Saccharomyces cerevisiae S288C: one gene and its partners. Each later gene encodes a partner of the first gene's protein in a complex. Each region holds a gene or a part of one and is shown on either strand. Other genes may lie near its edges. A codon is read from its position in the direction of its gene.

Region 1 (7,938 bases):
CACTCGAGGGATTTAATCGACTTCTTGTTTAGTTCGCCTTCGCTAGTCATAATAAAATCGACTTATTAATCCAAAAATTTCAAACTTTCTTGTCAACATAACTTCTGGAAAGGGTGTCAGAGGTTTTTCCTTCTTGCGTCTGCTGATTTTATTAGGTTGTTTAATTTAAAGGGCTTTGAACAGAAGTGGGAACTTCTTCCGCCTTATTAAGCTATTTTTCAATCGAATATAATTGAAAAAGTAATTGCTCTCACAGGTAGTCGAATCGTAAAAAAAGGGCAGTAAGAACAGCACCCGACATGGCTAACCAGGTAAGTAGTAAACTGTTTCGTTCCAAGACGCTAATGCTATTTTATTAACGCTCTCTTTTTTCTCGTTTGCAGAACTCTGACCTTTACAAGCAAATCACTGCCGGCAGTGTAGCTGCTGTGTTTCAAACGACAATGACATACCCATTTGAGTACTTAAAGACTGGTTTACAATTGCAACCGAAGGGTACCGCTTTCGAAATCATTTTACCTCAGATTAAGTCGTACTTTGTTGGCTGCTCTGCCCTAAACGTGGCCGCATTTGGTAAGACTATTTTAAGGTTCGTTACGTTCGACAAGTTATGCCACTCCCTGAATAATAACATTGATAATAATGATAATTTTCAAAGACTGACTGGTTATAACCTTTTGATCGCTGGTACGTTGACAGGAATAGTAGAAAGTTTGTTTATTATCCCTTTTGAAAACATAAAAACCACCCTTATCCAATCGGCGATGATCGATCATAAAAAATTAGAGAAGAATCAACCTGTAGTTAACGCAAAGGCAACCTTTCACAAGGTGGCGACTAAATCTACTCCTGTGGCTCGTATCGAGAAACTACTTCCAGCGGTAAAACACATGTATCAAACAAGAGGCCCTGCTGCGTTCGTCCAGGGAACAACAGCCACCATATTTAGGCAGATAGCTAACACCTCTATTCAATTTACTGCATACACAGCATTTAAACGGTTGTTACAAGCAAGAAACGACAAGGCATCCTCAGTAATAACGGGGTTAGCCACATCTTTTACACTCGTGGCAATGACTCAGCCCATTGACGTCGTAAAAACAAGGATGATGAGTCAAAATGCCAAAACTGAATATAAAAATACCTTAAATTGCATGTATAGAATATTTGTTCAAGAAGGCATGGCCACATTCTGGAAGGGCTCCATCTTTAGGTTTATGAAAGTCGGTATTTCAGGAGGCTTAACGTTCACTGTTTATGAACAGGTTAGTTTGTTACTAGGCTTCTCTTCCAGGTCTTGATAATTTTGTGGATCTTTTACTCTTTTCTGTACATAAATTGCCACTATTTAATTATTTTCTCTACGGTATCTTTTTTAGAACAAATAACTTTCAATTCTTGATTGAAGTTCTAAGGGAAGCAATTCGTGCGCGAGCTCAAACATATCATCAACGTTATTGATAATACCCATATCGATAAACGAATCTACCAATTCCTGTTTTTGTAACGTGCCGATTTTTTGTTTCAAGAAATCCATTATATTTAAAGATTCCTCCTGTATAGTAGACCACGTTTGTTTCGGCAATATTATCCTATTCTCATTCAAAAATTGCCTTGTAAGATGTTTTAGATCCATTATTTGCAGCGGTTTTATAGAAGAACGTCTCACCGCAGGGACATTTAAACGGATAGGATCGTTGCCTATATCATCCAAATTTTCGTCACTGGTGTTTTCAAACGAATAATCTTCGTTTTCTGCTTCTTCTGTCTCCTCTTTATCGTCGCTTGGTAAATCTTCAGATAGTGGTTCTTCCTGTTGCGTTATGGAAATTGGTACCGGATCACGTACTGGCGGTTCATCTACCTGATCCATTCCAATGCTTGGCGACGTGCGCAAAACTTCCATAGAGATACTGTTAGCTTTATCTGGAGAGTGCACTGTCAATTCATCCTCGTGTCCTGTCGTGGGAACATCTTGTATTATTATCGGGTCAATCTTCCTACTTTTCAAGCCTTTGTCTCTTTCCTGCAATTTTGCAAATACTGTTTGCGATAAGGAAGTATAATCAGGTTGCGTTTCATTGCCAATGTTGTTATCTGTCAGTTTCTCACTTCTGCTCCGAAGAAGCTCATTCTCCTCTGGTTGGCTCTCTTCGTACGCTAATTCATCTATTAGATTCCGTGCTTGAGTTTTATTAGTAGTTGTATCGTTGCCTTGTGATTTGCGTGCTAACACTTGGCTTAAGTCTTGTAAAAAACTTCGTACTTCGTTCGGATCTTTATTGAGGATGTCATGAGACTTAGTAGAAGCAGATAAAAGTTTTCTATAACCTGGCGTATTTCTGATCAGTACCTCATCCTTGAGACGTTGTTCTTCAAGGGCTCTCTCCCGAAAGGGGGTTCTGATCTCTGAGACTTCTGTATTCTCGTTGTTACCGGCGGCCTTCCTGGGAGTGCTCATTATTCATTTCTTATTTCGTTACTAATCGTCGTGTGTGTCATTAATCGGTAACGCGTAGCTTCTTAATCTTATTTAGAATATGTAAATAAAAAAAAGTAAAAATCGAAGCCTAAGCATTTTCAATGAGCCAGTTTCAATGAGAAATCAATCACTGGTGTGCCTTGATGAATGCTACTAGTGCTGTAAATGTCAATGTCATCGCACAAATACTCCTCGAGGTTGTCCAAATTCAAGCCTCCACTACATTCCAAGAGGAAATGCTTTTTACCATTCCATTTGTTCTTAAGACTTTGGGCGCACATTTTCAAACCGTCACCTTTGAAATTATCCAACATGATAACGTCTGCACCAGCTTCAATGGCCTCTGTGGCTTCATCTTCACTCAAACACTCCACTTCGATCTTCACAGCAAACCCGCACACGGCCCTGGCGTTCTTAACTGCGTTTGTTATAGAACCAGTAGCCCAAATATGATTATCTTTGAGCATGACCATAGAGGAAAGGTCGTATCTGTGCGTGTCGCAGCCACCTACAAGCATGGAATACTTTTCTAATCTACGTAAACCTGGTGTAGTCTTTCTTGTCCCCGCAATGGTCCCCTTGTAACCAGTCGAACGCGCCAAACTGATTATCTTATGTGAGGCGGTGGCAATTCCACTACTTCTACTAAGGATGTTCAAGGCGGTTCTTTCAGCTAATAGAATGTTTTTAGCGGGCCCAGTAATTTTAGCTACAACAATCTTACCAGAGTCATTCTTCGAAGGCTCCAAGAAGGAGCCTTCCTTAAACAACCACTCAACTTGCAATTCGCACTGATTAAAGACTTCTTGCGCAAAGGGGACACCACACAGCATACCATCCTGCTTACAGTACAAATTGGCCTCCTTTAGGTCGGAACCAACAACATATCCACCAAAATCAAAAGAAGGAACGTCCTCGCTCAGCCAATTGGTGACGTCTTGTCTCCATGCTCCATTAACGGGCAATAAGTGTTCATAAACAGGCATTTTTTTTTTTTGGTGTGTGTTCTTTCTGAGGATTGCGTTCTTTTTGTTGCGTTATTAAGTGGTGTCTTTAATTTTCGAATTTATGGCCCAAGATATACGAAAACTGCGGTAGGAGTCATGATAAATGGGGGCTCTTCAACCAACCGGCGTCACCAAAAGCAAAAATATCCTGGAGCGAAATATCACATTGTTTGTAACCAAGCTTGTACCTTTGACAAGTTAACTTACGTCTTGCCGGGGTTTGCTACTACGCATTCAAGTATATAAAACGTTGTGACACACAAGTTGATAGAAACCTCAGGATGTATAACTACAATTCTAGTTTCCATCTCATTAGTCCCAAATGACAATAAAAAAAATTACTGGCCATGGAAGATGACAAGCCGAATATTAGCTCCTTCGATCGAACTGTGCGTGGAGAAGAAGCTACTACTATTTAATAATTAGTATCCCGTGATTTTGAGCTGTCGCTGGCATTATGTACCTGACATTAGGTATTTAGGAAAGGTAGGGTAGATCAGTTTAGTACCTCAATGGGTGCGGAAGGTTAATCTTGAAAAATTTGCGATTAGTAGACAAGTTTATTCTCACAAGAACAAAATATTCAGTTCATTTCAGATATGATCGTGAAGGTGGAAATCTTTTTTTTAAAAATGAGAAGTGTGCCCAACAAAGAAGTAAAAGACAAGTTAGCTTTCTGTCATGCTTGAAAACTTTATGGAAGCCTGTGCATTGGCATTAGAGGCATCTCCGACAATCAGAAGAACACTTCTTGTTATTATAATTACCCATATATTTTTTTTTTTTTCAAATTGACTACTAGGAAAAAGTGACAATTTATAGTAAAACTGGCTAGAAAAACCTACAAGAAAAACAAAACCAGGTTAGGCATACATTAATACAAGATTATATCAATCGGAAGTTCGTATGCAAAATTGCATATGGAGCAAAGGAAAGGACTTCCATTTAAGACGACAGTATGAGTTATAAGGCTAACCAACCATCTCCTGGGGAGATGCCGAAAAGGTCACCTTCCATCCTGGTGACAGATGCAAGAACATCCAAGAATAGAATGAGTGCACCGTTCGCTGGACACGCTGCTGGTAGTAGGAAGAATATGGAAAACGCAGGAGTTACGAAGTCTCAAGGAGTTCGCTCTTCCGCTATTGGCCCTTCTCCGCTGCAGAGTTTTACTCATCCAAGAAGGCGATCGTCTGGCAGGTTTAGCGATATATCCATAGATAATATTCTTTCTGATAATTCAGATATTCCCTCTGCCAGAAGAGAGGAAAGGCTATCCAGCTCTTCAAGCGATAGGCCTCGCCAATATGAGCGGTTAAGTTCGCGTAGAAAGATGATCAATCCCCTGCCTCCAAGAACATCGAAGACGTCACAAAAGTTAGTGTTGATACCGGAAGACGACAACTTGAACCACTTTCAAACTCTACCAACGAACGCGCTGGATAGGCAAAGACCGAAAGTGGGCTCTATGAAGTCTAATTCCTTCGATCGGCTACCTCGATACTCAAAAGAAAAGTCCATGGCAAGAATCACCGCATATAATGTTGCTGATGGCTTCAATCTCAACCAATTGTATAAGTTTCTGCAGGAAACTCATGAGGTTTCACCAAGATTGTATGATGAGTGTCTATACGTTGCGTATACTTTGCCACTTCTACCAGGTAAAGGCGGTTTTAGAATCAAATCAAATTTATCTAAGAAAACAATGGGTGGAAAGACATTAATTGATAATTTAATTGATACAAGCGAACAGAGAGATCATCATTATGAATATTACTCAGGTGTGGAAACTGTGGAAGATGCAAATAATAATTACGAACTAGAAACCAGTGGAAATAACAATAACGCTAATCAAGACACCACAACAGTTCCCGATCATCTACCAAATCCAGTTGGTCAGCAAGACTCTTTTAATCCTATGGAACCACAATTTTTTGCGGAAGAAACTCCCTTAGAGATAGAGAAACGGGAAAGGACAGAAAGAATAAACATGCTGAAGAAGGAGGAAAACGACAGTGATGCAAGTTGTGGCAACGATAATAATAATAAAAATAATGATAAGAGTAAACTTTATGCTGTTGAGGGAAACGATCAGTATGTACAGTCCTCTCGTTCACCAGCTTCGCCATCATCAATATCTACGCCATCGCCACCATCTTCATCACAGAATGATTTTGATCGTGTATATAAAATGCATAGGGACAACGACCATGAAGGCAATGATAGACATGCAGAAATTTTCATTTTTCACTATGGCGTTATTGTTTTTTGGAACTTTACTGAAATTCAAGAGAAAAATATTCTTGGTGATATAACATTTGCAGATTATAAGAATTTAATGATCCGGCCGCTGGATGAACAAGATATTGAAACTGAACAATTCCATTTCGAATATGACAGAGATACCGAGAGACCGAGAATTTTCAATGATATTGTCACATTACGTTCAGGTGACCACATTATCGAGCTGACACTATCACATGCGATTGCGCAATCTTCGAAATTATCAAGGTTTGAATCCAGAATTTCGCCGATTTTAATATCAGTCACAAAACTACCTAAAAGACTAGCATTATATGGTACCCTTGGGTTAAAAAGGGAACAGCTTTTGAAAAAATCAGGGAAGCTCTTTAAATTGAGAGTGGATGTTAACCTTTCATCCACCATATTGGATACACCCGAGTTTTTTTGGTCGTTCGAACCAAGTTTGCATCCACTGTACGTGGCAATGAGGGAGTATTTAGAAATTGACCAAAGAGTACAAGTATTAAATGATCGTTGCAAAGTTTTCTTGGAATTCTTTGATATATGCGTTGACTCTGTTGCTGAAAGAAACATGGCTCGTGTTACATGGTGGTTTATTCTTGTCATTTTATTTGGAGTTATATTTTCATTAACAGAGATTTTCGTTCGTTATGTAATTATTCATCGTCATACTTCTACATAGATATTCATACACCCTTCTAGACGGCATTAAAAATAAATTAATGATATATTTAGTTATCAAGGTTTTTAGTCATATATTTCACCGTTATTACCATTCTTGGTCACGTGCAAGTAAAACCACTCGTTGATTGGCTCCCCTCAAGATTGCATTAAAAGTACAATAATATGACTAAGGGACTCGAATATGTAAATTCATCTTTCGCATCAACAAAGGAGAAAAAGACGATAGTGAAGACTAATATTTTAGCCAGATTGCAGTGTTTCAGTGATCTTAAAAGTCTTTTTCATTTCTAGCCGCATTGAATTCTTTAAAGCAAACCATTAAGGAGTACTTCCCCAGGTTTTTAACCGATAATAAGAGTAAGATAAAAGTACAAGAAGACAGGGAAATGATTGCTACACCTATAAGATTAGCAAAGAGTGCATATGAGCCGATGATAAAATTCGTCGGTACAAGGCATCCCTTAGTGAAGCATGCAACTGAGGTCGTTGTTCATCCTTGCGCTACCAACGGAATGTTACCTGGCAGCAAAGAGTGTATTCCAGTGAGTAAATTCATGGAAAATTATAAACCATTCCGTGTAGTGCCAATAAAGCATAGCGCTAATGCTGGTCTCAGCTCGTCAAAGACCTCTGTATTCGTTAACAGGCCATTGCAAAAAGATGAGCTTGCTTCCATTTTCGAGCTACCTGCTAGGTTTCGGTACAAACCTATTAACGAGCATGAATTGGAGAGCATAAATAGCGGTGGTGCATGGTGAAGGATAGATGCAGTAATATTATGATTTTTTTTTGTTATTTTATAGTTTCTTTACACATATCATTATATCTATGTAAAAACGTAGTTACTTAGGAAGAGAGAAGAGTGATGATATTATGAATTGAAAAATAAAAATAAAATGAGTATTTAATGAAGGTGGGATAAAACTCTTCTAAATTTTTTGAGTACCGTAGCCTTTAATATCCTTGGCGAAGTCCCATTTCATGTTTTCAACTTGCAAGTTTTTCTTGAAAGTTAAACCTGTGTTCTTATCAATTATGGCCAGTGAGAAGTTTCTAGAAGAACGGGCATCTCTATAATAAAGAACTCTCATTGCATTTACGATCGCCTCTTCAGCAACCTGTACAGTGGTCTTTGGAATATCAGATTCTCGATCTACAACTTTCCTTAACAGTGGGTTTGCCATGTGTGCCCCAAAACCTGTGGCCAAGGTGGGAGACGAATACGTAACACCTAGAAGATTTACGTATCTTAGGAATTGATCACCATTAGACTGTACACCAGCAACAATGATGGCATTCCAAAGTGGATTCATCTTTGATCTTCGCTGGTACATGACGGTAGCTAGATATTCAAAAATATAGCTGGGTTCGAGCGCTTCTTCAGCATCCGCTAGAGGATTGTCATACGCATTTTCAGTGACTAGATCTTTCAATAATCTCTCAATGTGTTGCATATCAGAAATATCACCTGAAATGCCCACAACGGTGTTATCACCCACG
Region 2 (7,080 bases), on another chromosome or scaffold:
CAATGAATACGAATGTGGGCGTATATAATAACAAAAAGTTTGGTCTATTTATTATCCACTCCGTATATGTATATACATATATACAAATTTCGTTTATTAATGTTAGAGGCTTATAAAAAAAAGCTTGACTTTTCCTTATGTTTCAAAGAGAGGATTTTTGTTGTTATTTTCATAATAGCATATCCATTCTTGAAAAGACTTCAAATACACCAGCAATAACTTCCAATTGTAAATCATGACCAGGATTGTTTTCTATCTCTTCTTTAACTTCCTTGTTTAAATTAACGGAGACACCTAACTCAGTTTCCTTTTCTAAATCAAATGGGTATTGCGAAAATTGTGCCATTATTTCTTCAGCTCTACTAATTGCCTTATCTCTCTTCTCATATTCCAACGTAGTCAGGACATTCTCCAATACGTTTGCCCCATATGATCCACATATTAAAGCTAAAGTTCTAATGATTTTGAAAGATGTTGTCTCCGGAAAATATTCATTGTAACTTAATTCCATGTTCCTCGATACGAGTACAGAAAGTACTCTGCGCTTAATGGCTTCTTTGCAGCTGGCGTCTGCAATGGGGTGTGTCGCCATGTCAAACAAAAAGAAATTTTTCATTTCTGTTCTCAATACACCTTTATCGACCAAACCTTTTGCCAATCTTTCCCTTACTTGTTTCAATTGATAGTTGATCTTTAAAAGGTTCCATGTTTCACCACTTAAAAGATCAATCCAGTTAGAAATTGACAAAGGTTCGTCGTTTTTCATCAATTGCAAAGTTTCATCCAGTAAAACTTCCCCAGTTTTGGAACTGTCAATAACTTCAATCAACCTTTCGGAAAGATCGAACCTTTTCCTGGCGGAATCATCTAAGATTCTGATTTTACCTCTTAACGCTAATTCTATAATTATACAACCACGCAAAGCATATGAAATACTATCATTCCAAAACGACAAATATCCTTCTCTATCTCTTAAGCCCATCAATAAGACTTCTTCCATCAACGTTAACGTAGGGATATTGATGTTGTCTCTCAATTTCGATTCTTCTGGGTCATATGCAATCTTTTTGTTTGTTCCATTGTCATCATCCCCGTCAACAGCAATATTTGCGATTTTGTCTCCTTTGGTATTGTTAGCAGAAGAATGAATGGAGGAAGTATCTCCAGAATCCGCCCTATTGACTCTACGACGTTGTAAAGTAGACATGATTTTTGCTTTGTATTTTTTTAGATAGTTTTTGTTTGAATTCTTTTACGTTATCAGATCAAAAGTTGTAATGAAAATATAGCCAACAATGAAACTGCTAATTTAGCTCTATTTGTTAGCGTGGAAATTTGAAATTTATTTTTAATCTATAAATGCAGCAGCCCAAACCGAAACAAAAGAATAAGTGAGTTGAACAGAGTAAGCAACGGGCCGATATAGAACTGAAAAAGTCAACGTACCCAGAAAGCAATTAACTGCGACACAAATAGATGTCAATGTCCAAAAAGGATAGATAAACAAGATTACGATCCAAGGCAGGGATCTAATTGTTTTTAGGTAAATGCGTACCCATTAGCCTCTTTTTTTCAGTAGTAGTTGACTGCTCAGGAAGTAAAAAAATGAGCCAGAATTGATCATTAAAAACGAAAAAAGGGTAACTCTTCGGTGTATTTTTTATTATTATACCATAGAGTACTGAAATAATGTTTAATTTGTCAACGATTGAACTGATGAACTAGGGATATTACCTCCTGTTTTATAATTGTTGCTAGTTTAAGAATCGGCGAGAGTTATTTTGTGCTTGAAAACTGTTTTTGATTCAAAAAAAAAATGGGAGCCAAGACGTCAAAGCTTTCCAAAGATGACCTGACATGTTTGAAACAATCCACCTATTTTGATAGAAGAGAAATCCAGCAATGGCATAAAGGATTTTTGAGGGATTGCCCTAGTGGCCAACTAGCTAGGGAAGATTTTGTTAAGATATACAAACAGTTTTTTCCATTTGGTTCTCCTGAAGATTTTGCTAATCACCTTTTTACAGTTTTTGATAAAGACAACAATGGATTCATACATTTTGAAGAGTTTATCACAGTTTTGAGTACAACGTCCAGAGGAACTTTGGAGGAAAAACTGAGCTGGGCTTTCGAACTTTATGATTTGAACCATGATGGATATATTACATTTGATGAAATGCTAACCATTGTGGCGAGTGTTTATAAAATGATGGGGTCTATGGTTACACTTAATGAGGATGAGGCAACGCCCGAAATGAGGGTAAAGAAGATCTTCAAGTTGATGGATAAGAACGAAGATGGTTACATTACGCTGGACGAATTCAGAGAAGGTTCTAAAGTCGATCCCTCTATTATTGGTGCCTTAAACCTTTACGATGGCTTAATATGAAAACTTTGTTTTTGCTTCTTATGGATTGGATGTTATAACAGTAGAAGTAATTTTAGGATAATTTTAAATAAAAATAATATTAAAAATAATAATAATACTAATAATAAATGAGAATAAAATGTTGATAAATGAGGGATAAGGTCTATTCATACGTCTCATCCAAGAAGGAGAAAATATCAGAATCTTGAGTTTTAAATAGATTAATTATTGAAATTCCAATCGAATATGGAATTTCTTGAGTATCTCTGGAATGTGTTATCGGTTTCATTTCATTGGATGGTATCAAAAACCTTTTTAACGATCTGTTATTTATATCACGCACGATCACCCATCTTACTTTAAAGGCTTTGCCATATTTTTGTTCATCTTCCCATATACTGGTGTCCAAATCCATTTTCAAATCCGATACCATTTCTGCAACGCCACAGAATCTTCCTGATGTGTTGATTGAAAAAAATAAAAACACTTTGGCTCCCGAATTAAGCTTTTTATATGCCTCAGATAGCCTTTTGTTGCCGAAATGAGTAGACGACCAAATTCCGTTGTAAAACGACCTTTTGACATGCTTCAAAGACGAGGACTTTATTACAAAAAATCTTGAGTTTTCTGGAATATTTAACCAAGGGGGAATAATTGCAGCACTTTTTCTTTTATTAATTTCATTGAAAGTTTGTTCTTTAGTTGACTGCTGCAAATACCTTGGTTTGGATAAATATTCCCTGTAATAATTATTATTGCTATTATCAGATTGGTTGTAGTCTCTAGAAAAGGAGAAATGCCGATTTAAATTTGAGCTTGTCAATGGAATACTATTAATCTGGTGTGTATAGTTTTCATGAGTGATCTCTTCTTTATTTTCTTTCTTGTTAATATCATTTAAAGCTGTGACATCGTTCTTTAGCTTTGGGTTTGTTTGTACTTCAATATGAGTTCTCTCCAAGGAATGGATCAACCCATCTAGTTCTCTTAAAGAGTCTTCAATTGTCCTGTCATTTCTCTTATTTTCTTTCCATTCAGAGTTGAAGTAAAAATTTGGGGGACCTGTAGACCAGATTTGATTCATTTTTAGAGCACAACGCAATACTTACGTCACACCAGCCGTAGACGATATCTTCCTTTCTTAACGAAATAGTAACAGAGGACACAATCTGAAAACTTCTTTTGCGATTCATAACCAACAGAAAATTTTGGAGGAAAACAATGTAGCTGTATAAATATATATATATATATATGTATGTATACTTATTTATTTATATATATATCACAAAAGGCTACCAAAAAGATTAGCCGCCGAGGTACATCGTGAGGAGTGATATTCTGGGGAAACGGGTAGCGATTTCGTGTCTATTTTCGGTCACCAAGTCAACGTTACTTACTGTCGTATAACCAAAGTACAACAATAGCAACAGTTCCTAACATTCTTCCATGGATACGGAAGCATTGGCCAATTATTTGCTACGGCAGCTTAGTTTAGATGCGGAGGAGAATAAGCTAGAAGATCTTCTCCAACGGCAAAATGAAGATCAAGAGTCTAGTCAAGAATATAACAAGAAATTATTATTGGCATGTGGATTTCAGGCCATTTTAAGAAAAATTCTGCTGGATGCTAGAACAAGGGCAACTGCAGAAGGTTTGAGGGAAGTATATCCTTATCATATTGAAGCTGCAACGCAGGCTTTTCTGGATAGTCAATGAAGGGGTATTTTTAAGCCTCTTTATCATATACTCTTTTGTTCGTAATAGCAAATAACTCGGTCTTATTAACGAGAAAAAGTTAAAGCATCTTCTGAATTTTTATTATATACAAGTTATGTAGTAAGGCGCCACTTAGCACCTAGAAAATATGATTAGCGTTCCGTAAGCTGGAGACCATTTTCAACGCATCGTGTGGTGCATCTTTATTCATAACGAAAAGTCCTTGCAACTGGGCGGTACTTACGGTGATATCCAATTCTTTAACACTATTTACAAACTTTTTGCATATATCAGTCTCACCTGGGTAAAATTTCATAAACATTTTTTCTACCTGGTATGGAGTTGCGTTACCAACGAAGACTTTGTAGTCAATACGACCTGGTCTCATTATAGCCGCGTCTAGCTTTTCAGGATGATTGGTAGTCATGAATGTAATAGTTTCTTCAGAAGATGTGACGCCATCCAGGGCATTCAGTAAACCGCTAAATGTTACGCTAGAATGAAAACCTTGTTCACCAGTTTGACTTCTTTTGTTGAACGCCGCGTCAATATCTTCCAGTAATAGTATGCTCCTTTCTGGCATGTTATTCATTAAGTGGTTTAATCTGTCATCTGTTAAATTATTTTCGGAGAGGTTTAAAATACAAATGTTGTAGTCTAATTCGCCCGCTAAAGCCTGGATAAAGCTAGTCTTACCAGATCCGGGAGGGCCATAGAGTAAATATCCCCTGCGATATGGGATACCCCTGTCAGAGTACCATTTGCCGTTCTTCATAAAATCATAAACGTCATCGAGAATACCCTCTTTGATGCCACTGTCCAAAATGACGGAGGGCAGCATCCTTTTAGCTTTTGGTTGACCAAACTTTCTCCATTCAGGGCCGAAAGAAGTGTAAATAACAGTCTTGCCCTCAGTAGTCTTCAGGGCTATGTCTTTAGCCTCGTTCAAAATGTCATCGAACAAATGTTTGTCACGGTACAGTGTAGTTAAGGTTACGGTCTCAAATGGTGACCCGTTTGCGATATCTATCATTTTTGCGGACCTTTCTCTTTTAATCAGGATAAAAGCACCCTTATAACGAATCCAATGATTTCCCGGACCCGGAACCAGCGAAAATTTTGTACTAACTGATCCATTGTCATGTTGTATGTAGTTTGTCCTAACGGATAAGTGTCTAGATACCCTTTGAGGATGTTTGGCCATCCATGTTAGAAACCAGGCGTATGATTTGTCCTTCGACTGAATCTCTAAGTCGACAATCATTTGTCGGTATAGGACCCTGCTGGCTTTTATTATACCGGATCTAGCTACAGCTAAACCTGTACCAAGGATCATAAGACCACCGCCGGCGGCAAAATAGGGATTGTTTGACATAGCATCGCCAACTAGTTTTGAAAGTTTTTCCCGGACTGAGTCATTACCAGTTTCATTTGTTGGCGGAGTAATTACACCACTCAGATTTGGAGTAGCCTGTTTATCATATTGTATGTCAATCGGCTTATCCGACATGGTAGATTGAGGGCACACTTCATTTTTTTTCAAATCGTCCCTTGGTACGTCTACTGCGTTGCAAATATAGAAGAGTGGAAATCTTTACTTATACTATTTACATCGATTTTTCGGCACTCTTTAAGGGTAACTCAATCGAGATATAATTCGAAGAGCAGTAAACTATAGCTCGAACGTAACAGAAAGTTTTTTGCTTGCTATAGTTCTTGGCCACAACGCCTCATTCATTCATTTAGAAAGTTTCTCACTCTTTCTTCTTCCTTTTTTAGCTCATTACTTGTGAAAATGAGCTTTGTTCAAATAAGGCACATTTCTTCACAAATAAACCGTAAGACTGTATCCATTGTTGGATCGGGGCCTTCCGGCTTTTATACAGCGTACCATTTACTCAAGAAGTCACCGATTCCATTAAATGTTACTATATGGGAAAAGTTACCTGTTCCTTTTGGTTTAAGTAGATATGGTGTGGCACCTGATCATCCAGAAGTCAAAAATTGTGAAGAAACGTTTACCACATGTGCAGAAGAGTTTTCTTCCCCTACAAACCAAAAGCATAAATTTTCCTTTGTTGGTGGTATAACCATTGGAAAAGAAATATTGTTGAAGGAATTGCTGGATAATCAAGATGCTGTTATTTTAAGTTATGGTTGTACAGGGGACAGAAAGCTGAATATCCCTGGCGAACTCGGAACAAAAGGGGTGTTTAGCAGTAGAGAATTTGTCAATTGGTACAATGGTCATCCTGATTTCGCAAAGGATAAGCGATTTACCGATTTTGACTGGAGCAAAGTTTCGAAAGTTGGTATTATAGGAAACGGTAACGTTGCTCTTGATATTACGCGTGTACTTATTTCTAATCAAATTGATGAAATATGGGAAAATACGGACATCTCATCTCTTGCACTAAATTTGCTAAGAAGGGCACCTGTAAAGGACGTTAAGCTAATTGCACGAAGGGATTTCGTTCATTCCAAATTCACCAACAAAGAATTAAGAGAACTATGGGAGTTAGAAAAGTATGGCATACGTGGCCGTATTGATCCTAAATTTTTCCAGAAAGAAATGTTTGACCCATCTAAGTACGATCGTGCATTCAATAGACGAGTAGAGATGTGTAGTGAGTATCTCAAGCCATTTAATGAACGTTCGAAGAAAAACTATAAAAAGGCTCCTCCTCCAAGCAGCGGATATGACAAATTCTGGGAGTTAGATTATTTGAAGACTCCCTTGAAAATTAATAGAGACGATTTTGGTGCAATCAACTCTTTGAGTTTATGTAACAATCGATTAAATGAAGATAACAGTTTGCAACCCTTGAAGGACGTCAATAATATTATGACATATAAAGTGGATTTGCTGATTACTTCATTGGGATATGCAGGCGTTCCCATGCCTGAATTCTCTAAGTTGTCTATTGGATTTGACAAAGATCATATAGCTAATAAACAGGGTCGTGTTTTAACTTCCAGCGGAGAAATATTCCCAC
Region 3 (7,346 bases), on another chromosome or scaffold:
AGTCGTTTTGTTGCTCCGGTGGAGAATCAAGAACTTGGAGGAAGGAGCACAGCAGAGTGTTAAACAAGGCGCTAGTACTCTATATTGTAGAGTCTGTACGTGAATAAATCGACGTGTGTGTACGGTGGAAAAATGCTGTCTCGACCTTCAAGCCGATTCCTATCCACTAAAAGGGGCCCTGGACCTGCAGTGAAAAAATTAATTGCAATTGGGGAGAAATGGAAACAGAAGACAACCCGTGGCTTGCCTAAGCAGGATACTCTGAATAGCGGGTCGAAATATATTCTGTGCCAGTTTCCATATCCTTCTGGGGCGCTTCACATAGGACATCTCCGAGTTTATGTCATTAGCGACTCTTTGAATAGATTTTACAAACAAAAAGGGTACAACGTGATACATCCGATGGGATGGGATGCTTTTGGGTTACCTGCCGAGAACGCTGCTATAGAAAGAAGCATTAATCCGGCCATATGGACTAGGGACAATATTGCAAAAATGAAACAACAAATGCAAAGTATGCTGGCAAATTTTGATTGGGACAGAGAAATAACTACATGTGATCCCGAATACTATAAATTCACCCAATGGATTTTCTTAAAACTTTTTGAAAATGGCTTAGCTTATCGTAAAGAAGCAGAAATTAATTGGGATCCCGTTGATATGACAGTTTTGGCTAATGAACAAGTGGATGCCCAGGGCCGTTCTTGGAGATCAGGGGCTATTGTGGAAAAGAAGCAGCTAAAACAGTGGTTTTTGGGAATAACGAAATTCGCTCCTAAATTGAAAAAGCACTTGAACCAACTGAAGGACTGGCCTTCCAACGTGAAGCAAATGCAAAAAAATTGGATAGGCGAATCTGTGGGTGCAGAATTAGTGTTCAAAGTTGCGGACCCCAAATTTGAAAACTTGATTGTCTTTACAACAAGACCGGAAACTCTTTTTGCTGTACAGTATGTTGCTCTCGCATTAGACCACCCAATTGTACAAAAATACTGCGAGGAAATGCCGGATTTAAAAGAGTTTATACAGAAAAGTGATCAATTACCAAACGATACGAAGGAAGGATTTCAGTTACCTAACATAAAGGCCGTAAATCCCTTAACTAAAGAGGAAGTCCCCATATTTGCAGCTCCATATGTGGTCAGCAGCTATGGTTCAGCACCTAGTGCAGTAATGGGTTGTCCAGGACACGATAACCGAGATTTTGAGTTTTGGCAAACAAATTGTCCTGGTGAACATATCAAGACGTGCATAGCACCTTTTTTTGACGATGCTTCAAAAGTAACTGAACAGGAAAGACAAAGAATAATTGATACTGTCCCGTTCACATCTACTGACGGTGTCCTAACCAAAGAATGCGGAGAACACTCAGGAGTTCTCACTGTAGTGGCAAGGAAATCGATAATGGGGATGTTGAATAGCGAAGGACTGTCTAAGAGCGTCGTTAGATACAAAATTAGAGATTGGCTGATAAGTAGACAAAGATACTGGGGTACTCCAATACCCATCATTCACTGCGACAACTGTGGACCTGTCCCCGTTCCAGAAAGTGATCTACCTGTCAAGCTACCAGAACTTGAAGGCTTGGATACAAAAGGGAATCCGCTGTCCACAATCGATGAATTTGTAAATGTCGCCTGTCCTTCATGCGGGAGCCCTGCGAAAAGAGAAACTGACACCATGGATACTTTTATCGATAGTTCTTGGTATTATTTCAGATTCTTGGATCCCAAAAACACTTCAAAACCATTTGATCGTGAAATTGCAAGTAAAAATATGCCGGTTGATATTTATATTGGTGGAGTAGAACATGCTATCTTACACTTGTTATACTCAAGGTTTATTGCTAAATTTCTCGGATCTATCAATGCATGGAGCGACCCTGCTGGCATCTTCGAACCATTCAAAAAACTGGTGACACAAGGAATGGTTCAAGGGAAAACCTATGTTGACCCCGATTCTGGTAAATTTTTGAAGCCTGACGAGTTAACCTTTGTAAATGACTCTCCAGATGGCAACACAGTGATTATTAAATCAAATGGCAAGGTTCCGGTAGTCTCTTATGAAAAAATGTCGAAATCTAAATACAATGGTGCAGATCCAAATGAATGTATTTTAAGACATGGACCTGATGCTACGAGAGCACATATCCTCTTCCAAAGTCCAATTGCAGATGCCCTGAATTGGGATGAATCCAAGATTGTTGGTATAGAACGTTGGTTGCAGAAGGTTCTTCATTTGACCAAAAATATTCTCAGTCTCGAGAAGGATTTGGCAATAAGTAAAGACTACAAGACCCCGACCGACTTAAATGATGCAGAAGTGAAATTTCACAACGATTTCCAACGCTTCTTGAAATCAATTACGGAATCATTTGAAGTTAATCTATCGTTAAACACTGTAATATCTGATTATATGAAGCTAACCAATATTTTAGAAAGTGCATTGAAAAAAGGTGAAGTAAGGAATGAAATGATAGTACAGAATTTACAAAAGTTGGTAACCGTTATATATCCTGCTGTCCCGTCAATTTCAGAAGAAGCTGCAGAGATGATCAACTCCCAAATGGAATGGAACCAATACCGCTGGCCAGAAGTTGAGCGCACTACTGAGTCCAAATTCAAAAAGTTTCAAATTGTGGTAAATGGCAGAGTCAAATTCATGTACACGGCTGACAAAAACTTTTTGAAATTAGGTAGGGATGCTGTTATTGAAACTTTGATGAACTTACCGGAAGGGAGAATGTATTTGATGAATAAAAAAATCAAAAAATTTGTCATGAAATTCAATGTGATTAGTTTCTTATTCCACAAGTAATCATATGACGCCATGAATTTACCACTAGTGCTTGTAAATAGTTAAATATTAATGCCTTATAGATATAAATTGTCCAATCTCCTTTTTGGAAGTTATAATATATATATATATATATATATGTATATAAATGTGGATGCATATTCTAAGAATTTTGAACGCTATACTTTGAGAGACTCTTCAAATATGTAAACAAGAATGCTGCAATGTCTCTATATGGATTAGCAGTGTTACTCAAATGCATTAAAATCTTTACTCTCAAGTCGTGAATGTTATTAACGCCCTTTATCCAACCATGCTGGCCAATCTCATCATGATGAACTCGAAAGAAATTGTTAAACGTCTCTTCATTTATGATCCCACTGGTGAATTTTATTTTGGTATTTTCGGCCGTTTCCAGTCGTCTTAGAATAATAATACATATGTAGGATAGCGCTGGTATACCAGTTATCGTGAAAAATTTAGCGTTCTTGAAGTCTGCAGTTGGGATATAAAGATTCTCCAAAATCTGCTTAAAGAAATCTGGTGAGACTCCAAACAAACTTTTGGATGACAGAACTTTATTCCTGTAAAGATAATTTGTCAAATCCATGATATATTGGTTCTGCATCCGAACGAATTTGTTTGTTGACGGGTATTGCATCAATTTATTTTTCGTAGCAACCAAGTACCTGCACGCAGCTGATAATAGCAAAGGATCGTCCGAACTGAACACTTTATTCATGATGTCAGGGCCCACAATCAAATATTGGATCGCATAATCCGACTTCGTTTGTTTCGACAGTTGAGTTAAAATATCTAACGAGCTGATGAAAGCCATCGTAGAAAATCTGTTTGAAGTAGCATTGTTAAAGATTTTGTCCAAAGTTAGCAGGCTTTGCATGTCATGCAGTAGTGTCAACCCGAGTGCTATCAATTTATCATCTAAAACCCAGTTTGTAATCATTTGTAAAACGTAAAAACAAGTTTCAGAAAATGTGCAATTATTGTCGTGACCATCTCGTGTACTCCACATAAAAATACTGGCCATAAACTTAACGAAAAATTCCCTTGTACCACTGATTAGTTCAGGCTTCCATAATGGCAAGATTCCGCCACAAACCTTTTTCAACGTAAGCTCATCGAGTTTTAAGTATTTCAAATTACAAAACGTTTGAATAATGCGAGAAGACAGTTTATTATCCATTGAGGACACCGAAATAATAATGGGAATAACTTCTTGCGGAGTCTCTATCTGATGTGCAAAGCATCGCTTCAATTGCCAAATGCACCATTCGTATGGTGATGACGACTCATCGCGGCTATTTTTAATGAGAATGATACTAGAGTACAAGTGTTTGAGAGAATCCCTAGACATGACTTTTCGCGGCAGTAAAACATTGCTGTTTAAAGATGGCTTCATCATGTAATCTACATCATTGGGAATATGCAATTGTGGCCAGTTTTGAGCTAATTGTTCCAATGAAGTGACATCCCAAAGAGAGACCGTACTGTCAGAGGGAACATATTCTGGAAGTGATTGAAGTCGAAGTGGGTATATAGAATCAGCACCTAATTGATGAATTTCACTCAAGTACATGTCAATTGTGTTTTGGACAGTGTCAGCGGGAAAATTAGCGGGATGTGCTCTGGATAATATTCTTTTCAAAATGGATAGGAAATGCGCATCCAATTTTAAGTTTCGATGACTTTTCAAAGTCTTTCTATTGCAATTGATGGTAATTATTGATTCAGTAATCTGACTGGATGCGCCCACGAGACATTGAAATCGTTGCAAAATAAGCGTCGCACTACCGGGAGCGTCCCGGTAACCTGGATGCATAGCGCATCTCTTGATAATAGACAACTTCCAAGGTTTGACATCAACGGGCGTCGTGGCTTGCCAAATAACCAGGGGAGTTATCCACTTCTGTAAGAACGAGAATTGCCATAAATGTAACCAGATAGAACTGGATATATTGTGTTCTCGTTCTGAATGTACAGGAAATAGGAAATAAACATGCACTAACCATTTGCACAACGCAGATTGTAGGACCGGAGGCGTTTGTATGCGATATCTAGAGAATACCGTTGGCGTACCGAGATGGTTAATAATCTCCAAAAGAAGTTCCTTCGTCAAGTAGCCATCAGGTAAAAAGCAATTTTCGACGATGTACACTTTTGTAACTGTGTCTATTATGGAAGTTTCACAGAGTAACCTTACAAGTGCTTGTAGTTGCGGCGAAGAAAGACCATATTGTTTTGATTTTTCGTATAGCAGGCTTAAAGTGGTTTTAAGGGCCTGTGGTGGCGTTCGTTCGTTAGCATTCGTTAGTGAGAGGATGATATCATCTAGTATAAGACTCATTCATGTAAAAAAAACAAAAATTGAAGGGCGAACCGTATTAGCAGGCGTATTGTTTTTCATTTCATAGTTGATTGTTTTTGATAATAAATGATTCTATAATTTTTCGCGTATTATACAAATAAAAGTAAAAGAAAAATAAGATAGAGGGACATATAAAGAAATAGATGTTTTTATAATAAAGGTCTATACAGTATGGAGCGTCGCGTGGCTTGGCTCAAACTTTTAGAGAACCATTGTAGTCATAAACGGATCTTGATCTGATGTACGGATCTAACTTGGAGTAGTTTTCACAAAGAGCGGTGGAAAGTTGTACTCTTTTCTCCTGCAGTTGAATGTATGCTGGATCGTTCAATGGCTGGTGTTCAATCCATTGGGCAGTGACAGTCAAGAATTGTTCGACCAATTCTTCTCTCTCCTTTTCGATCATAGCGCGAGTCTCGGTGTCTTTCAGATGGACGTCCAAAGAGCCATCTGGTGGAGTGTAATGATCCAAATCATTGTCATTTTCTCCGCCCAGATACCTAGGGATGTATTGGGGTTGGATAAACTTGTGCAATTCGTCGATATTCTTAGTGAAAACAATCTTGGACGCGACGACCGGATCCAGCCAATTCTTGATGATGTTCCAAATCGGGTTAAAGATCCAAGGGGCCTTATGGATAAGTAGATGGCCCAAAGATTCCGGGTAGTGAGCCTCAAAACAAGTGATTAGAAACTTGACGGGGGCATAGTCCATATTGGACATGGAGAACCCGTTCAGATCGAACAAGATGGTGGTGGATGCGGGGTAGTTTTCTTTGAAGAAAAGCTTTGATTGCTCGATGACCAACAGGGAGAATTTTTCCAGCTCCTGTTCAGTTTGGTCGGAAGAATGATGTAATCTAGGTCTCACAAGGATGACTGGCCTCATGTCATTGTCGTAACCCTGGATGGTGGCCTTTTGCAATTCCAGGTTCTTAATGACACCGGTCTCGTTATTCTCATACACAGCTCTTTCGCCACCGTTTATGATCTTGTTAATAGTGTCCTTGCGCCAGTACAAATCGTGACCCAACATGGCGATGGTCTTGTCTGCGTTCCACTTTCTGGCTCTGATAAACTTCAAAATGGTGGCGTCTGGAGTTTCATTCTTGATATCGTGCCAGAACTGCTTCTTGGTCGTTTGCGGGTCTAGATTGGCTAGTGCCTTGTGTATCTTGCCCTTTTCATAGAGGTGTGCCGCTTCAGCGGCTTCGCTGGAGTCCTGTGTATGGTCTGAGGACTGAAGCTTGCTAAACCAGGATGATTTCTTCTTCTTAGCAGGGGTGGACGAGGAGTGGAGGGAGTTATTAGGGAAAATATGAGTTCCATCCACGGGAACTTGCCACAGATGGAAAAGGTGTGTCCAAATTTGCTTAAGGACGACCTCCTGGTCTTCGGTCAACTGTCTATCAAAGGACATAATCTAGTTTATATGTGGTCTTCTTATGTGCTTTTGTGCTTTTATGCTTCTGTGTGCGTACGTATCCGTATATTTGTATGTTTGATTTTGTTTAAAGGAGCGTAAGTGACAAGTGCCAAGATTTAAAGAGCGTACCAAACGCTATTGTTTTCACCATGTGAACAAAGCTGTAACGATTTTATGTACGTACGCAAGAGGACGATGCCGATTGAAGGCAGGAGCTCAACAAACACGAAACAAAACAACGAAGAAAGAAAAGAAATATATCAGAGAACAGAGACCGCCTCGTTTAGGGCCGCACGTATACCGCGCACTCTTGGGACGCAGGGACGCGATGGCCTTGCCATGTGCAAGATAAACAAGCTGTCAACGGCACAAGTAGCGTTTATTTGAGACCTGCTTGCTTTAGCTTGCATCATCTCTTGTTCTTCTTACAGTGGTCGCCTTAGACCATCCCATTAGCCAGTTCATGGCCAACTCTCCGTGTGACATGACGAGTGGTTTTCCCGAGTGGAAAGGTTCAGAAATGCATCTGGATTCCGATGGCATACGGTAATTGCCGGCATTATAACACTGTACTACCGAATCCGTCGTTCGTCACCATATTAATTTTCACTCTTGTTGCAGTTATACCGCTATAAGCAATTGAGCCTGCTGAAAGCTTGCTATAAGCTAGAATGTATTGAATGTATTCATCTTCCTTACATCTCTCTCTCTCTTCACACTTGTTACCCGGCGCGGCAG
Region 4 (7,640 bases), on another chromosome or scaffold:
ACTGTCCCTGATAAGTGGTTGTGCTATCCATGGGACGCTGAAGATATCGAAGAACATACCATGCTCGCTAAGGCTCAAGGTCATGACTGATGACAAACAGTATGTTGCGATGGGGTTGCATGTATATAGATACATATAGTTATCATTGGTAATTATTTCATATTTAACCTAAATCTAAAGATAAGAGTGTATTTCTAGTTATCTCATTTTTCCTTGCATTTCTACCATTTGTTGAACTTGTTGATGCATCATCTCTTTTAAATCGGACACATCATTTTCTAATTCCTCCACTTGTTCAGTCTTTTCACCTAATAGTTGTAAGGAGGTTTCCAATTTACTTTGCATCTGCTCAACTCTTTTTAAGAGATCATCTTTCTGTTTATTTACCTCATTGAATTTATCGTTTTCTTCCAGAAGTCTTAAAATCTCATCATTTGCTTTTGTCTTTTCTTTCAGTAAATTATCGTATAATTCCTTTGATGCTGATAATTCACCTTCCAATCTTTTTAACTCCGTACTTAACTTGTTCACCAGATGAGCGCTTATGTGGCCGTTAGAATTCGATAGCTGGACGCTAGCTCTTCTGTATGGTATTGATGTGTTGTTTAACGAGTTCATTGATTCCCCTTCCCTGATTGCTTGTAAAGCAGCGGCCTCTTCTGGAATATCGTCAATGCTGAAATCCACATTTTTTCTATCAAAATGTTGGCTTTCTTCGCTACATATGGTTTCGTGAGATTCATTGTAAATGGGTTTTAGAGACGGATCGCTTTCTAATTCGCCAAGTTTTGACATTGATAATGACAGCATAGAATTTTCTTGAGGTAAAGTCCATTCGTCTTCTATATTTCCCTCCATGGAGTTTAAACTATCTGTTAATTCTACAGGTATTTTATCTATAATTTTCTCATTGCTGTTTTCTTGATGTGGTTTTAGTTCGTTCTCTTTTTGTTCCAACTGAGACCTTTGAATTTCGTACTTCTTCTTCAGTAGATTATAATCATCACTTATACTTTGCAATGATGACTTCAATGTCTCCGCCCGTCTCTCCAAGTCTTTCACTTCCAAAACTGCCTTCGAATGATTCTCTTTTTCTTTTTCTAATTGCTTACCTAATGTTTCAGATGAACGTAAGGCAGTTTGATATTTTTCTTCAATATCATTTTTTTCTTTCATTGTAGATTCAAAGCGGTTTTCCAAGTTCACAATTTTAGTGTTCAAAGCGTATTCAATACTATCCCAGTTGGCCTTTGATGACTCAAGCTGTTCTTTGAGCCGATTGTATTGGAAAGATGCGTGTTGTTTTTCTTCATAACTTTGTTGGTCATCGACAAAATCTCTATTTGATTTAGCGTCTAAATTTTGAGTAGAGCTATCTAATTCTATTCTTAGTTGTTCTAGTTTAGTCTCTAGAGTGGTAACTTGATCAACTGTTGCTTCTTGTAGTGCTTTCTTTTCCGTTTGAAATTCACTTTTTTCTTTTTCAAGCAATGTTCTCATATTATCTAAAGATTGCTGTAAAATTGTTATCAAATCATCTTTTTCTTTTATATTTTTCTCTAATGTTTCAAGTGACTCTTTTTGTTTATCTGCATCCTTTAATTTATTTGTAGCTTCAGCCAGTTGTCCTTGTATGTTGTGATACAATGATTGCAGCTCATTATAGTTTTCGACACTCTGAGCAGAACTATCGTTTAGTTCAGATACCTCATACTCTAAGTCTTTCACTTTTGTTCTTAAAGCTTTGATTTGATTTGATTGCCTCAGCTCAGTTTCCGCTAATTTAGCTCCTTCTTTTCTCAACTGATCTATCAAGTCGTCCTTCTCTTTAATCAATTTGAAAAAACTAGAATCCGTGGTTTCGATTTGTGATTTTCTGTTTAGTTCGTTAGTTAGGTCATCAATCTGTTTGTTTAATCTTAAATATTCAGGACTAATTTCTTTGACTAATTCTTCAACAGTAAATTCAGTGTAATTTTTAGGTAGCCATGTAGGCAGTGATACCATAGTGTCGTCGAAGCAATCAGTCCTATTGTGATCGGGATGCACCACGTCATCGACAGCGATTGAATCTGCCTTACCTGTATCGCCTTCCACAGTGCTTTCTGATCGTACCGCAGGATCATCTATGTTTTCAGCATTGTCAATTGACACCACACCGGCAGCCGCATCATCAATGGATGTACGAGCACTTTCTTGTTCATTGTTTGACAGCACCACAGGCGATGGAGACGACAAATTTGACGTTGACCTTTTATTTTTCTTTCTTCCTTTCTTAGTTGCCAAGGAGAGTCTCTCTTCCAACGATAATTTTTTACTCATAGCAAAATTGGTATACCACTACCATACAACACTTTTTATATACTATTCTGGACTAAGGACCTTTTAACGACAGTCTATTAAAAGAGGAAGTCAAGAGCTTTTTGGTGAATAATCTACGGTTACTGCCAAATTATGATCTTCTAAATTTTGGCGCTTTATAACATCCTCACACCACTACGAAGCACACTTTGACTACGAAGTATTACTTAAGTTAGACTGGTCTCATTGAAATCTATTAGTTTGATGTATTTAGTCCCTGGATTTGTAGAGCCCTCAATTACTGTTATTATATTAGCCCTAAGTAATAATCTGTATATTGGTATCGTTTTAGATGAAAAATCGTTTAATGTCAGATTCAAATCATGCTCAATTAGTCTTTTCATTAACAGCATGACTTCGTTCGTTAAGCTATCTATTGATTCATCATTATCATCCAAATTCGGTACTAGATAACCCTTGAGAAAGTCCGCCAGTGAGTCCCAAAGCTCTTTATTTCTGGCTTTTCGTGTTCTAATATGGGCGTGATCTTGCTTCTTACTGTCCATAATGGTCATTTGATGCTGCAGTTTTCGTAGCAGCTCTTTCAAGTCACTATTAATATTATTCTGTAACAATAACATGGCCTTTTGATCAACTGATTGATCATTCATAAGCGAGAGCCATTCACTGGAACTTTGGGCTCTCAAAGACAAAAAATTCGATGTCAAACTGAAACCAATAGGATCAGCTCTCTCTGAGAAGAACATGGGTTTTCTTAATAACTCTGTAAAGACCTCAGAATTGACCGGTTTACCCTCTGTATCCAGAGATCTCTTCGTGATCTCATCGATGGCACCTTGAGCTTGCTTCAAGAAATATCGTTTGTTTCCGATCTGGTTCTCCAGGTTCTTTATGTAGACATCCAGGACATCCTTTTCAACATCCATGTTTCCTTTGTGAGACTTTCTGCCGTTTGCTCTTGTCCCTCTTTGTCGTCATATGCGTCTTGTTTGTTGTTACGCTGCATATCAAAGCGAACGGTTAGTTATTAACTAACGTAAAAATTGATGGAAACATTCATTTATATGAAAGTATTGAAGAAGAGGTAAAAAGGAAAACAAATTTACAAACAACAAAGAATGTCTTCTCTATCAACGTCTGATTTGGCCTCCCTTGATGACACTTCCAAAAAGGAAATTGCTACTTTCTTGGAGGGAGAGAACTCCAAACAAAAAGTCCAGATGTCAATCCATCAATTCACTAATATATGCTTCAAAAAATGTGTTGAGTCTGTCAATGATTCTAATTTAAGTTCGCAAGAAGAGCAATGTTTGTCTAACTGTGTGAATCGGTTTTTGGATACTAATATCAGGATTGTGAACGGGTTGCAAAACACCCGTTAATATGAAACCGATTTATCTCTCCGAGTCATTATTCTCTTTACCTTAATATATCTGTAAATAAGCAAATGAATATTTTAATATATGTCCAAGGTTTCTTTAAAAGGGATTCTTCAGCATAAAGGGCAAATAACTCTTTTTGTTTATATACTGTCTAGTTATATATATATATATATGTATATGCATTTGTCTGTGTCTGTGTCTGTTTCCTATGAGAACTCAAAAAGTAACTGAAACCGCGGTTGCTTAGATAGAGTCGATAACTGTTCACCCATAGCGCAGTCACAATTCAGCAACCAGCTTATCGTTTCCTTACATTGTTGTAGTATTGATTCGTTCAACGCATCCTCTTGCGAACACTTATCGTATGTAACTAGAATTAATGATAAAATGTCGAATCTGTGAGCCACTATTCTTTCATTCGGGCAAACCTTTATGAGAGTACTTACCACTGAAAGAGTTTTTGAAATAAGTTTTGGAAAAGTTGTGTAAAAAGGATTTCGTACAATATATTCACCTAAAACAAAAATCAGCCTCTGGAGATGTACAACAGACCCTTCTCTTTGAAGTCTCAGTATGTTCATTGTGCATTCCAATGCGTATAACGTCAAATTTTCGTATGCAAGGCTAGCCCTAGGAATTATGTTTTGCAAGATTATCTCTGACATGAACTTTTCCAGGTGATATTGATACTTTGTGTAATTGTCCAAAAATTCTACTTTATATAACGACTGTATCGTTGGGAAAACGACCCGCCATATGGCTATTGTTTCATCAGCATTGTATGAGGGAGGGAGAAAATAGCACATATTGATTAGCGTCTTTTCGAACAGTGGAAATAAACCAGTACTAGAGAACTGTATCCATTTTGAGTCATTGGTTTCGTTCATAAAGGTATGATTTAATAGCGTCTGTAGGAGCAGAACACCACGAAGTTTAATTCTTCTTATATCAGTGGTATCATCTAGTATGTTTAGAATTCCTGGAATAATCCAAGAAAGATTCGTAGATATGTCTCTCCTTTTCAAATGTAACAGAATTACGTAGAATAACGGAATGCCTTTCAAGCCACCCTGACTTACCCACGCCTGCATTAGGTTATCTTCTTTCAAAGACATTCCAAGCGTGGGTTTGAGACCAAGATTACGTTGCTCTTTGAGTTCGAAGTTGCTTTTGCGTTTTAAAAGTAGTGGCTGTAACTTAGAAATAAGGACGCACATAATTTCGTCATGTTCACTTTTGTTACGCTGAAAGTAGTAATCTATAGTCTGCAAAACATCTGTGTTGATTTGTATGTCTACTCCTGGAGATATGGAGTGATATGAGAGAGATTCAATAAGGTTGACCTCATCGGACACCGTAATTGCACATCCAGTATCTGTCTTCTTTCGTAACTGGAGACACAACTCTCGAAGCCTTGTAGAAGAAAGACTCGAATCATTCAATTCATCGATGATATCAGTTACGGCCGTCATTCTTTTCAATATTTTGTTATATGATTTTATTCTTCACCTCGTTTTCATTCTTCATAGTTTTCGTTTCTCATCTGCTATTGAAAAACCGAACTAGCCGAAGGATAACAATAATGAGTCTTAACTGTTAATATACAAGATTATACAAATAAATATGTTTCTATAAAATAAAAAGTTATATTCAATTGCGAAAAAAATAAATAAATGTGGGAAGAAAACCCAATAGTATGTCCTACTATGTCATATGCTATCATTAATAGGCATCTTCAGACACATCTTCATGGAAGTATTTACCCTCGGTGGTTGGTTTAATGATACCTACTCTTATACAGAAATCACCAAAGTGTTCCCCTTCTTCTCTTTCTAAAGCATACCTTTTAAACAATGGTTTGATGTAGTCGACAATTTCCTCATCCTTCACATTGGCCTTATACAATTTGTTTAGCCTTTGGCCGAGGTAACCACCACCAAGCATCAAGTTATAAGTATGTGGAGCTTTACCAACAAGAGCTAATTCACCTAGCCATGGACGAGAACAACCGTTAGGGCAACCAGTCATTCTCATAATAATGGAATCATGGCGTAAACCATACTCTTCTAAACAATCTTCCAACTGAGTAATAATGTCAGGTAGGAAACGTTCAGATTCGGCAAACGCTAAACCACATGTTGGCAAACCAACACAGGAAGATGAAGATAATCTCAAACCGCTGAAATCGGTGTTATCCAATTTATAGGTCTTTAAAATAGATTTTATTCCAGCAACATGTTCATCTGTAATATTAGAGATAACCAAATGTTGATTACCAGTCAATCTGAAATGACCAGAATTAGTCTTAAGCATGTATTCAGCAACCTTTCTAATACCTGTCTTTTGAGGCAAATCTGGTGTATCTTCAACCCTACCATTTTCAATAAATGCGGTAAAGTGGTTTAACCCAGTTTCATCTTTAATCCATCCAAAGTAATCAATATTAGATTTAAACTCAAATGGTCTCTCAGGCTCGAATTTCTTACCCCAGTATTCCTCCACTTTTTGCTTGAAGCCTTCGACACCCATATCATCTACAGTATACTTTAAACGAGCATGCTTACGGTCTTTACGGTCACCGTGATCTCTTTGGACAATAACGATACCTTCAAGTGGTGGAATAATGTCTTCAGTTTTAACAAAACCTAAGCATGACCCTAATCTTGGGTAAGTTTTCTTGTTGTTATGAGTGGTACCCATACCACCACCAACAAAAACATTATAACCCTCCACGATTTGAGTTTCTGGGTTAACTATAGCAACTAAACCGACATCGATAGATAATACATCCACATCGTTATATGGAGGAACGGCGATGTTGAATTTAAACTTTCTTGGCAGATAAGTTGGACCGTAAATTGGTTCAATATCGACCAAAGCGTTACCGCTAACTAGAGTCTTCTTTTTTCTTGGACCATCTTTTCTGTTTTCAAAAATAGATGGCCAGGATGGATCATCGTCCTGTTCTTCTGGGCCCTCCAGCCAAACTTCGTGGTAGGCCGTAGTCTTTGGTAAGAAATGATCAGAAATCAATTTTCCCATATCAGCGATTTGTTGGTGAACCTTGGCATTGGTTGGTAGAGCAGAAACCATGACATTTCTGTTCACGTCACCTGCAGCAGCTAATGTATCCATAAGAACTGCATTCATTCCTCTCAATGTGTGTTTCAAGTTCTTCTTTAGCACACCATGAATCTGGAAGGTTGCCCTTGTTGTTAATTTCAGGGTACCATTGCCTGAAGTATCAGATAAGTGATCCAGAGCAAGCCATTGTTGTGGAGTGGTCTTACCACCTGGTAAACGAGCTCTTGCCATAAACATATAGTATGGCTCTAAGCCTTGTGACTTACGTATTTCTCTAATGTCACGATCGTCTTGGGTGTAAATACCGTGAAATTTCATTAATTGTTCATTAGCGTGAGTAACACCACCTGAAGAAGTATCCTTTAAGTTCTCACTGATAGTACCTCTCAAGAAATTAGATTCTCTCTTAATATCCTCGTTTGTAACAGGTTTTGGCTCATCATCAACAGCAGCGCCGGAAACACCAAGAGCTTCCCATAATTTAGGTTCCCACTCAGAATAAGCAGTTTGGAAACCATCAGCATCTTGATCATCACCCAGTCCCAAGGGAATTAGGGCTTTGGCACTCAATAATTCCAAGCGCTTAAATAAATCCTGTGAAGGCTTGTTAAAATAATGTTTATCTTCTTTACGTGGCCAATACTCAGAATCACCGAGACCAAAAACAGCAACATTCAAACTAGCTAAATCCAAGTCGGTGTCATTTTTCAGAGCTTCCCAGAAAGACTTACCGTCTTGGGGGAATTCACCTTGCCCAGCCGTGGAAGTAATGAAAACTACATTCTCTTCACCAGGTAATTCTTCCAAAATAATGTCATCCATGGACAGAACAGTAGCCTTTAAACCTCTTGC

The links.
Region 2: the proteins of CNN1 (region 1) and WIP1 are in contact, whole or in part, in a crystal structure (PDB 6YPC), measured with the Saccharomyces cerevisiae proteins. Residues at the interface, in NP_116704.1 of Saccharomyces cerevisiae: Ile270 (codon at 1,654), Lys271 (codon at 1,651), Pro272 (codon at 1,648), Leu273 (codon at 1,645), Asp277 (codon at 1,633), Leu278 (codon at 1,630), His280 (codon at 1,624), Leu281 (codon at 1,621), Thr282 (codon at 1,618), Phe285 (codon at 1,609), Leu286 (codon at 1,606), Asn289 (codon at 1,597), Arg290 (codon at 1,594), Ile291 (codon at 1,591), Ile292 (codon at 1,588), Leu293 (codon at 1,585), Pro294 (codon at 1,582), Gln296 (codon at 1,576), Thr297 (codon at 1,573), Thr300 (codon at 1,564), Ile301 (codon at 1,561), Glu304 (codon at 1,552), Ser305 (codon at 1,549), Asn307 (codon at 1,543), Ile308 (codon at 1,540), Met309 (codon at 1,537), Phe311 (codon at 1,531), Leu312 (codon at 1,528), Lys313 (codon at 1,525), Leu319 (codon at 1,507); in NP_001032576.1 of Saccharomyces cerevisiae: Met1 (codon at 3,815), Asp2 (codon at 3,818), Thr3 (codon at 3,821), Glu4 (codon at 3,824), Leu6 (codon at 3,830), Tyr9 (codon at 3,839), Leu10 (codon at 3,842), Arg12 (codon at 3,848), Gln13 (codon at 3,851), Leu14 (codon at 3,854), Ser15 (codon at 3,857), Ser37 (codon at 3,923), Gln38 (codon at 3,926), Glu39 (codon at 3,929), Tyr40 (codon at 3,932), Asn41 (codon at 3,935), Lys42 (codon at 3,938), Leu44 (codon at 3,944), Leu45 (codon at 3,947), Leu46 (codon at 3,950), Cys48 (codon at 3,956), Gly49 (codon at 3,959), Phe50 (codon at 3,962), Gln51 (codon at 3,965), Ala52 (codon at 3,968), Ile53 (codon at 3,971), Leu54 (codon at 3,974), Arg55 (codon at 3,977), Ile57 (codon at 3,983), Leu58 (codon at 3,986).
Region 3: the proteins of CNN1 (region 1) and CTF3 are in contact, whole or in part, in a crystal structure (PDB 6YPC), measured with the Saccharomyces cerevisiae proteins. Residues at the interface, in NP_116704.1 of Saccharomyces cerevisiae: His280 (codon at 1,624), Leu281 (codon at 1,621), Arg283 (codon at 1,615), Gln284 (codon at 1,612), Asn287 (codon at 1,603), His345 (codon at 1,429), Glu346 (codon at 1,426), Leu347 (codon at 1,423), Leu348 (codon at 1,420), Pro349 (codon at 1,417), Leu350 (codon at 1,414), Glu351 (codon at 1,411), Gln353 (codon at 1,405), Ser354 (codon at 1,402), Glu357 (codon at 1,393), Ser358 (codon at 1,390); in NP_013485.1 of Saccharomyces cerevisiae: Thr91 (codon at 4,891), Pro92 (codon at 4,888), Thr93 (codon at 4,885), Val94 (codon at 4,882), Gln141 (codon at 4,741), Phe142 (codon at 4,738), Ser143 (codon at 4,735), Phe144 (codon at 4,732), Arg173 (codon at 4,645), Met176 (codon at 4,636), His177 (codon at 4,633), Pro178 (codon at 4,630), Gly179 (codon at 4,627), Tyr180 (codon at 4,624), Thr210 (codon at 4,534), Asn212 (codon at 4,528).
Region 4: the proteins of CNN1 (region 1) and MCM22 are in contact, whole or in part, in a crystal structure (PDB 6YPC), measured with the Saccharomyces cerevisiae proteins. Residues at the interface, in NP_116704.1 of Saccharomyces cerevisiae: Asp338 (codon at 1,450), Phe341 (codon at 1,441), Glu342 (codon at 1,438), His345 (codon at 1,429), Leu350 (codon at 1,414), Gln353 (codon at 1,405), Ser354 (codon at 1,402), Glu357 (codon at 1,393); in NP_012669.1 of Saccharomyces cerevisiae: Tyr205 (codon at 2,636), Arg206 (codon at 2,633), Leu209 (codon at 2,624), Arg210 (codon at 2,621), Asn212 (codon at 2,615).

What each region holds. Positions count from the first base shown.
Region 1 is NC_001138.5:241,699-249,636, forward strand, and holds CNN1 (centromere-binding protein CNN1), read right to left. Parts: upstream 2,462-7,938; coding exon 1,376-2,461; downstream 1-1,375. Other genes in the region: MRX20 (Mrx20p), read left to right, coding at 300-311, 384-1,301; BNA6 (nicotinate-nucleotide diphosphorylase (carboxylating)), read right to left, coding at 2,581-3,468; RMD8 (Rmd8p), read left to right, coding at 4,448-6,436; alpha-ketoglutarate dehydrogenase subunit KGD4, read left to right, coding at 6,825-7,196; PRE4 (proteasome core particle subunit beta 7), read right to left, coding at 7,368-7,938. UniProt on the Saccharomyces cerevisiae protein: Component of the kinetochore, a multiprotein complex that assembles on centromeric DNA and attaches chromosomes to spindle microtubules, mediating chromosome segregation and sister chromatid segregation during meiosis and mitosis.
Region 2 is NC_001136.10:1,220,943-1,228,022, forward strand, and holds WIP1 (Wip1p), read left to right. Parts: upstream 1-3,814; coding exon 3,815-4,084; downstream 4,085-7,080. Other genes in the region: CTS2 (putative chitinase), read left to right, coding at 1-6; VPS74 (Vps74p), read right to left, coding at 170-1,207; FRQ1 (frequenin), read left to right, coding at 1,817-2,389; PHO92 (mRNA-binding phosphate metabolism regulator), read right to left, coding at 2,532-3,452; bifunctional AAA family ATPase chaperone/translocase BCS1, read right to left, coding at 4,224-5,594; ARH1 (NADPH-adrenodoxin reductase), read left to right, coding at 5,880-7,080.
Region 3 is NC_001144.5:877,538-884,883, reverse strand, and holds CTF3 (Ctf3p), read right to left. Parts: upstream 5,162-7,346; coding exon 2,960-5,161; downstream 1-2,959. Other genes in the region: leucine--tRNA ligase NAM2, read left to right, coding at 133-2,817; CSR1 (Csr1p), read right to left, coding at 5,376-6,602; YLR379W-A (uncharacterized protein), read right to left, coding at 7,168-7,346. UniProt on the Saccharomyces cerevisiae protein: Component of the central kinetochore, which mediates the attachment of the centromere to the mitotic spindle by forming essential interactions between the microtubule-associated outer kinetochore proteins and the centromere-associated inner kinetochore proteins.
Region 4 is NC_001142.9:673,531-681,170, forward strand, and holds MCM22 (Mcm22p), read right to left. Parts: upstream 3,249-7,640; coding exon 2,529-3,248; downstream 1-2,528. Other genes in the region: XPT1 (xanthine phosphoribosyltransferase), read left to right, coding at 1-90; SGM1 (Sgm1p), read right to left, coding at 199-2,322; protein transporter TIM8, read left to right, coding at 3,441-3,704; TTI2 (Tti2p), read right to left, coding at 3,911-5,176; MET5 (sulfite reductase (NADPH) subunit beta), read right to left, coding at 5,427-7,640. UniProt on the Saccharomyces cerevisiae protein: Component of the kinetochore, a multiprotein complex that assembles on centromeric DNA and attaches chromosomes to spindle microtubules, mediating chromosome segregation and sister chromatid segregation during meiosis and mitosis.